2 linked regions of the Neurospora crassa OR74A genome follow. The protein of the gene in region 1 purifies or fractionates together with the protein of each later gene. This does not show direct contact. Links are inferred from orthologs where the notes say so. Each region holds a gene or a part of one and is shown on either strand. Other genes may lie near its edges. The genes, in order: NCU06943 and NCU05782.

Region 1 (4,609 bases):
GGTGCTTTCATTTCCTATGCCGGCCTCTAGGGTGACGCGGAGAGACGGTAGTATCATGTCAGAACAAGGCGAAGTCGCGGTCCTTGATGATGGTTTCGTGGGGTGTGCCGGCGCGGAGCTCGTAGACTGGCCATTGTTCCAAGTCCAGGGTAAGTTAGCGAATAGACTAGGCTTGGCAAGGTACGTAAGGATGGGGTTATGTCGTACGGAGATGCCGCTGTATAGCGACGTAACCCGGAGGGCATAAGGCTGAATCAATGGGGACGGATAGACAGACACTGCAGAGTACCTCTTTGACAGTCTCTTGGCTTGGAAGGTCGGTGTAGATGGAAGCTCATCGCAGCTGCGCACTGTTCAGGCCTCGACTGGGGCATCCAATGGCGTCTAGGAGATGGTGGAGGGTAGTATCAGCGCTGTTCCTTGTGCATGTCGAGTACCGATTTGATATATTGGTCAGATAGGTCGGGTACATATTCTCGTTCACAGCTCCACGACACGTTTGCTTGGTTGATGTTGATGCCCCTAATTCGAAAGCCACGGATCTCGCGCTTCGAGCTACATGAGCTACGTATGAGCGTGAGGCAAGCTGCTCGCCCGAAGAGCCATCATGATACAAACGACGGAAACAAATCACCACGCCAAATACCACCATGGACTTGGCATCACTTGAACTGTCGGAAGAGACTGGATCGACTGAGGTACTGTGTAGTATCGTGATGGTGTCGTCGACGCTGCGAGACCCAAAATGGAAATGATAGGTACACAGCGGCACCACATCCATGCAACGGGCCGGAATGGTGCGCCATCGAAACCCGTACGCTTCTGATGCGCTGAAGAACGGGAGCATTGGGGCAATTTGGGGGTGTCGTGCATGCTGTAGGGCTCTTCCGCCACTGTACATACTGTATCATCCCTCGAAGACCCGGAGTTGGTGTCGCTGATTGGATGTCCGGCTGGACGGAACCGTTTCACGACCAATCCCGCAGAAGCCAGAGAAGGCATTCCCAGATTGCGACGCCTGTGATCATCCAGACAACGGCCATTATAGGATGTGAAACCGATGATGAGCGACATGCTTTGAACACAATGGAATAATCAAAGCATCCCAAGTCTTGTCTTGTTGTTGTTGTTGTTGTTTCTGCCACGCCCTGACGAGAACATCAACGTCGTAGTAGACGATGCGTTGAATGTCCTGAGACCGGGCAGTCGATAATGCTGGCCTGAGTCATCGGGCGGTCCGGTCACTTCAGTTGGTAATCCCTTCATGGACGCCGGGTCTTGCTTGGGAATGCGAAGCGGTCGACACTTGTGACAACCCAAGTCCGAGGTGGGCATGTTGACATGAGGTGGCAGAGGGGAGCCCGAAAGAGAGAACTGAAGTACACCAGTTTGTGAGGCGAGAAGCGAGAGAACCCGTGACCAACGCCTTCACATTTCTCGATCTGACTGCATATCGTGTCTCGTGTGAGCAGACATGACGCCAACAAACAACATGGGATGGCATGTGTCTCGGTCGACGACAAAGGAGTATGTGTTTGCATATTGGCACGAAAACGACCGAATAAGTAAGGGGATTGTGGCATTGCCGCAATGGAAAGAAGAACAAGGATTCATCATGAATCATCCGTCTCGCTGCTTTCCGAATGGAAATGGAAAACCGTAAAAGGATCGATGAAGGACGGACTGTTACCGACACCGCCAAACAGTCCAAGCCTCAATCTCTCCCATTGTGCAGGTCAGACATGCAGATCGAGCCCATAGGGCTGATGTGAGTGAGGGAACTCGACCATTGGCCAAATGATATGCGATCTGGTTGAGTTCGATGCAAAGAGTCAGTCAGGTGTGGTGAGTGGGTGTGGGTGAATGGGGCAGCAAAATGTCCCGTGTCAGTGTGGGAGGTAGGACGACGACGAGGACCCGACTGTCAGACAGACAAGAGGCCAGGCACACGGACAGCTGTCGCTCAGCTGGCAAGACTCTTCTTATCCGAATTCTTATCGACACGAAAATCCAAAGGAGTTTCGCACAATTGCTGCTGCCATTGGTTGCTAAGCCTTCCCAGCTTACAGCGCTCCAACGGGCCAATGGGGTGGCCAATGCGGCGTGAATTGGGGTAGGCAGAATCCCCACCCCGCATGGCTGTGGCCCGTGCTTCGTCCTGAGCTTGCCGCAAAAATTTCGAAAAAACTTGTCCAGGGCAAAAGTGGCAGAGCAAAAAAATATCCAAACACAGCGCCGTTCTGATTCCCGGAGACCGAAGACTGAGTTCATGCACCGGTGGCATTGAACGACGCCCAATTGCGCACAACACTCCAATCCCAGCGCACCCGGTTACCCAGTCACCCATCAATCCAGAGTCATCATACGACAACATCACCGCTAAGATGGCCAACGTCAACTATCTTCTGTTCGAAAGCGCGGTCGGCTTCTCGCTCTTCGAGGTCGTCCACCAGGCCGACACTGTCGGCTTGGAGCTGCCCGAGGTCAAGGATGCCATGAAGGATCTCGACAAGTTCGGCAAGATGGTGAAGCTCCGCAGCTTCAACCCTTGGAAGTAGGTGGCCAGAAGCAAAAGCATTGTGTGGTTTTGGAGTTGGTGTTTCGGGTTGAGGTGGTTGTGGTGATTTCATGGTCATGTGGTGGTGGTGGTGGTGGTGGTGATGATGTTGGGAGGGACAGAAACATTGTGTGAATTGCTTGTCTTGGCTGAACCATAAACTAACGTTCCTTAACCTCCAGCTCTGCCGCCCACGGTCTCGAGGCCATCAACCTCATCTCCGAGGGTATCATGCCCGACCACCTCAAGAACACCCTCGAACTCAACCTCCCCCAGACCAGCGGAAAGAAGAGCAAGATCGTCCTCGGTGTCGTCGACAAGAGGCTCGCTGGTGAAATTAGCGGAAACTTCCCCGGTATTCAGTGCGAGGCTGCCGATACCTCCGAGGTCGTCGCTGCCCTCCTTCGCGGCATCCGCACCCACGCCGGCAAGCTCCTCAAGGGCCTCCAGGACGGTGACATCAACCGCGCCCAGCTCGGTCTCGGTCACGCCTACTCCCGCGCCAAGGTCAAGTTCTCCGTCCACAAGAACGACAACCACATCATCCAGGGTATCGCGACCCTCGATGCCCTCGACAAGGGTATCAACTCCGGCGCCATGCGCGTGAGGGAGTGGTACGGCTGGCACTTCCCTGAGCTTATTCGCATCGTCTCCGACAACGGCACCTACGCCAAGGTCGTTCTCGCTGTCGGCAACAAGAAGTCTCTCAGCGACGAGTCCCTCGACGAGCTCGCCAACGTCCTTAACCAGGACGAGGACAAGGCCAAGGCCATCATCCAGGCCGCCAAGGTCTCCATGGGTCAGGACATCAGCGATATGGATCTCAACATGGTCAAGGACCTCGCGGACAACGTCTCCAAGATGGCCGACTACCGCCGCATCCTCGCCGAGTCGCTCGACAAGAAGATGGGCGAGGTCGCTCCTAACCTGCAGGTCATCCTCGGCACCCCCGTTGCCGCCCGCCTCATCTCGCACGCCGGCTCCCTCACCAACCTCGCCAAGTACCCCGCTTCTACCCTCCAGATCCTCGGTGCCGAGAAGGCCCTCTTCCGCGCTCTCAAGACCAAGGGCGCCACCCCCAAGTACGGTCTCCTCTACCAGAGCACCTTCATTGGCCGCGCCGGTCCCAAGGTCAAGGGTCGCATCTCCCGCTACCTCGCCAACAAGTGCTCCATTGCCTCCCGTATCGACAACTTCTCTGAGAACCCCACTAAGCGCTTTGGTGAGGTTATGCGTGAGCAGCTTGAGCAGCGTCTGGAGTGGTACGCCAAGGGCATCAAGCCCATGAAGAACACCGAGGCCATGGACAAGGCCATCAAGCTCGTCATGGACGACGAGGGTGACATGGACATTGACACCGAGATGGTCGACTCGCACACCGCCACCCACGCCGCCGACTCCAAGAAGGACAAGAAGGAGAAGAAGGACAAGAAGAAGGACAAGGAGGAGAAGAAGGAGAAGAAGGACAAGAAGGACAAGAAGAGGAAAGCGACTAGCGAAGACGTCGAGATGGTAGACGCCCCCGACGCTGCGGAACCCGAGAAGAAGAAGAAGAAGAAGAAGTCGAAGTCTGAGTAAAAAGACCGAAAGAAAAAGAGCCAAAAAGCAGCGTCACCACTTGTGTCTTTTTCACGATTTTTACTTTTTTTCTTCGTCATCTTGTTTAGAGCTTCTCGTCGCGTTTTTTGGCACGTCGTTCTTGTTGGTTCGCTCTGTTGTCGTTGTTATCCTCGGGAGTTTCTTATAATGTATGGGGTATGGGTCAAATCTGGTACAAAGGAGTTTTACGGGTCTACTTGTTTCTTGCAAGAATCATAAATAGTTCGTCGTTGTCGTCATTCACATCTCTTGCCATCTACGACTGATCATAGAGGGGTAGCGCAAAAAAGTTGAAAAGGATGTGCGTGTGTACTAGCATCATACCCATGGAGCATCATATGGCGGCGATATGGGTAAAAACAAAGGCTCATTAAACGAAACGGAACGTACGTCTAAAAGTACCTGGTTGATGTGAAGTGTCATGAATCTATGTACTCTTCCAATATCGCATGA
Region 2 (4,324 bases), about 3.0 Mb from region 1:
CTCGTCCCCCTCTTATAAACCGACTCCAAGCTAATCCGTGGTCTATAGGTCCAAATATTCTCCAAAGCCGCCCAATCCAAGACCAAATCCCAACCCGCTTCCGCTACCACCGACGACAACCAAAATCAATCTCCTAACGAAAACGCAGCCGCCTCCACCGCCGCCTCAACTCCCACACCTCCACTCGACAAGACCGAAGCCGAGATCCAAGCCGAGATCGCCGCCATCTTCCGCCAGATCACCGCCTCCGTCACCTTCCTGCCCCAGCTCAGTGGCGACTGCACCTTCAACGTGCTGGTCTACGCCGACGCCGACAGCGACGTGCCAGTCGAGTGGGGCGACAGCGACGCCAAGGAGATTGTCAACGGCGAGCGCGTACAGCTAAGGGGGTTTAGCACGACAAACCATCGGGTCGACACGTTGGTTAGTTATCGCCTGGCGGATTAAAACGAGTTTGACTAGCTGAGTAGGGACCGTAACGAATAATGTGTATTTTGGCGTTTTGAACTTGGGGTGGGATATGGATGGATGGGTAGGTATTTGCACATATGGCTTTTACATATGGATTGGCATTTTGCTGGCATGGGAGTTTTTGCGGAAAGGCGTTGGAGGGAAGCCGGGTACGATATCAGGGATTAATTTACTGCTGTTCACTTCATTTTTTACAACCCCCTCTGGTGTCTATCGAGGGTTCTTGAATGTCTTGAGATGTTGTACACCACGTCATCATACTCTAGGTACATACGATCAAGCTATCATAATGGTAAGATCAGCGTTAGTCTATTCCACATTATCTCTACCATTACTCATTATAAAAGTAATTACCTATATATTCTTAGTGAGGTCCGCTGGTCCTGAAACTCGTTTTTCGACACCAAACTAGTCTTGTTTTCTAGAGCTGGGCAACAGCAGCAAGGACGAGAGGGTTTGCATTTCTGTTTCGCAATGGGATGGGATGGGCTTGGGATGAGCGGTAAAAACACTGATACCTGGATCTGGACCTGATCTATAGGGAAAGGGTTCGAGCAGTGCGGAGGGCATCTCGAAATGAGTGCCTTGGTGCTTAACGTAGAGGTATCTTGGAGCTCAAGCATACTCTCTTTCAACCCTAACCCCCTGTATCGCGAGGTAATTACGACTCGGGGCTGACATCAAACCATGAAATTACCAAGACCCACTTTGAATCTTCAATACACTACCAGCACGCAACGCCCAGAGGAACCCAGACCGATTAGAATTCCCAAACTCAATGCACATAAGCAAGCATGGCGGTATCTCATATTCTTGGAAAACCAGGAGAAAGAAACAATGCTTCTTGCATCATGTCCTGCTGTTCCTGAATCTCTCACAAGGGACCCCGATGGAAAAAGTGGACCCGCGGGGATCAGACAGGGCCGGGGTCAGTGACAGGGCTTATCGATAAGGAAATTTTCCCAGCCGGCGCAGGTCTGGCGATAACAGAGCGGCACCCTTTTGGCCTCCTTCGCGACCCTTCCCTTCCCTTGAACCCTTCTCTCTTTAGCGAGTGTTGTGTTTCCGACAGTCGCCCATCCATCACCTTTCGCCAATCGCTTTCTGTGCGAGTGCGATCTCAATTCTACCACCATGTCTTCCACCAAGAAGCACTCCCGGAGCGAGGGCGAGGAGAAGGATGCCCGTCTCGCCAAGAAGGTCAAGACCGACGAGACCCCCGTCGACGGCGAGGTGAAGAAGGAGAGGAAGAAGGACAAGAAGGAAAAGAAAGACAAGAAGGAGAAGAAGGATAAGAAGTCCAAGAAGGAAAAGAAGGACCAGGACGAATCACCAGCCACCGAGTCCACCGAGGATGTCTCCATGCCCGATGCCGCCGCCGAGCCCGTAGCCGACAAGAAGGAAAAGAAGGAAAAGAAGGACAAGAAGGAGAAAAAGGATAAGAAGGAGAAGAAGGCCAAGAAGTCTGACGAGTCCACGACCGAGGAGTCAACCAGCGCTTCCAAGGCCACCACCAACGGCACCACCACTCCCGCCGCCTCTACCAACGGCGCCTACACCTACAAGCAGGCCGATGCCCTCAGCGCTCTCCCCGAGTCCGAGATCGAGACCTTCCTTAAGGAGAAGGAGATTGTCATCAAGGATCCTTCCTCCAGCAACCTCCGCCCCATCATGAACTTCTCCCAGCTCCCTCAGTCCAACCTCATCTCCAAGAACCCCTTCGCAGCCTACACGAACCCGACCCCCATCCAGTCCGCTTCCTGGCCCTTCTCGCTCTCCGGCCGCGATGTCATTGGTATCGCCGAGACCGGTTCCGGCAAGACCATGGCCTTCTCCCTGCCCTGCGTCGAGTCGCTGGCCTCGCGCCCCAAGCCCAAGTTCAACAGCCGCGACCGCACCGCCCACCCCCGCGCCGTCATCGTCTCGCCCACCCGCGAACTCGCCATGCAGACCCACGCCGCCCTTTCCGGCCTCGCCTCCCTGGTCGGTCTGTCGGCCGTGTGCATCTTTGGTGGCTCCGACAAGAACGAGCAGCGCAACCTCCTCTACAAGAACAACGGTGTCGACATCATCACCGCCACCCCCGGCCGTCTCAAGGATTTCTTGTCCGAGGGCTCCATCTCGCTGGCCAACGTCAGCTTCGCCGTGCTCGACGAGGCCGACCGCATGCTCGACCGCGGTTTCTCCGAGGACATCAAGCTCATCCTGAGCGGCTGCCCGCCCAAGGAGCAGCGCCAGACGCTCATGTTCACGGCCACTTGGCCCCTGGACATCCAGAAGCTCGCCGAGAGCTACATGATCAACCCCGCCCAGGTCACCATCGGCCACAGGACACGTGCCGGTGGCGATGGTGAGGGTAACGGAAACATCGAGCTGCAGGCCAACAGCCGTATCGAGCAGAAGGTTGAGGTTGTCGACCCCCGCGGCAAGGAGTTCAGGTTGTACGAGCTCCTTAAGGAGGCTCAGAAGGGCAGCCAGAAGGACGACAGGATATTGGTTTTCTGCCTGTACAAGAAGGAGGCCGTTCGCGTTGAGCAGTTCCTTTCTCGCAAGGGCATCAAGGTGGCTAGCATTCACGGTGACTTGAGGCAGGATCAGCGCACGCGCAGTTTGGAGGCGTTCAAGTCTGGTACTACCACCGTCTTGGTCGCTACTGATGTTGCTGCCCGTGGTCTGGATATCCCCGAGGTCAAGCTCGTCATCAACGTTACTGTGAGTTCAACCGCACACATCTTACTTATCGTCAATGGCCAAGTGCTAACAGATTCCCAGTTCCCCTTGACCATCGAGGACTACGTCCACCGTATCGGTCGTACTGGCCGTGCCGGTAAGCTGGGCAAGGCCATTACTCTCTTTACCGAGCACGACAAGGCCCACTCCGGATCGTGAGTTTCTATTCTTTCTTTCTGCCTCTAATATTTCCCCATGCTAACCACAAGTTTTCTTTTCCAGCCTCGTCAACATTCTCAGAGCCGCAAAGCAGCCCGTGCCCGAGGAGCTCCTCAAGTTCGGCACCACCGTTAAGAAGAAGGCCCACGACGCTTATGGCTCTTTCTACAAGGACATTGACCCGAACAAGAAGGCGACCAAGATCACGTTCGATTAAAGGAGAGAGGATGAAGATGATGTAGATACCACCACCATGCCACATGTTGTGTAAACATTGGAGCCATTTCAGTTATTCTTTCGGGACAAAAATTTCATTGGGCGTCTTTTTTTTTCGATCTCTGTCCGGTCTATCTCATGATCTAGTGTTTTCTCAGGACTTTTGTTGTTGTTGTTGTCTCTTACCCTGAAGGGCGCGATACCCGCTCAACAAGAAGTCTCTTTCGGCGATGGCCCTGTCGTTTGTCGTCGTGTTAGCTTTCTATATATATCCAAAATAGATGAATGACAAATGATCGAATCGAACTAACGGATGTGAACTTTCACGAAACTAAAAGGAAACGGAAAAGAAAAGGGAATACTCACACAGCAACAACAAAAGGCACCGCCACCCCTGCAATCTTGAACAACTCCCAAACCGCCTCTTTGGCACCCATCACCACCTCCTCTTGACTGGCTCCCACAACCCGTCCAACAACACTCCTAGCCACAACCGCAGCCGCCACCGCTCCCGGCTTAGGCAAGACGTCCAACACGCCGAACCTGACTTTTTCTTTTTCTTTTTCTTTCTCATCCTCTTCCCCGTCCTTCTTCCCCCCTTTCTCTCCCACCTTCCCATCCCCAGTCCCACTTCTTTCAGCAAACCACCGCCCAACAAACCCCCAACACCACACAATCCGACACGCCATATTCACCGCATTCGCCACCACCAGGCCCCTCGCGCCCATCCCCCACACCTTGAGCGTCA

The links.
Region 2: the proteins of NCU06943 (region 1) and NCU05782 purify together in Saccharomyces cerevisiae (affinity purification with mass spectrometry; 3 studies listed by BioGRID). This does not show direct contact. The link is inferred for Neurospora crassa OR74A from reciprocal best matches to the Saccharomyces cerevisiae genes NOP56 and DBP3.

Annotation. Positions count from the first base shown.
Region 1 is NC_026507.1:848,517-853,125, reverse strand, and holds NCU06943 (SIK1), read left to right. Parts: upstream 1-1,809; 5' UTR 1,810-2,384; coding exon 2,385-2,554; intron 2,555-2,739; coding exon 2,740-4,135; 3' UTR 4,136-4,547; downstream 4,548-4,609. UniProt on the Saccharomyces cerevisiae protein: Required for 60S ribosomal subunit synthesis.
Region 2 is NC_026507.1:3,805,388-3,809,711, forward strand, and holds NCU05782 (ATP-dependent RNA helicase dbp-3), read left to right. Parts: upstream 1-1,459; 5' UTR 1,460-1,605; coding exon 1,606-3,183; intron 3,184-3,243; coding exon 3,244-3,356; intron 3,357-3,423; coding exon 3,424-3,577; 3' UTR 3,578-3,730; coding exon of another isoform or gene 3,731-3,812; 3' UTR 3,813-3,883; downstream 3,884-4,324. Other genes in the region: NCU05781 (mitotic spindle checkpoint component MAD2), read left to right, coding at 49-447; NCU05783 (oligosaccharide translocation protein RFT1), read right to left, coding at 3,731-3,812, 3,943-4,324. UniProt on the Saccharomyces cerevisiae protein: ATP-dependent RNA helicase required for 60S ribosomal subunit synthesis. Involved in efficient pre-rRNA processing, predominantly at site A3, which is necessary for the normal formation of 25S and 5.8S rRNAs.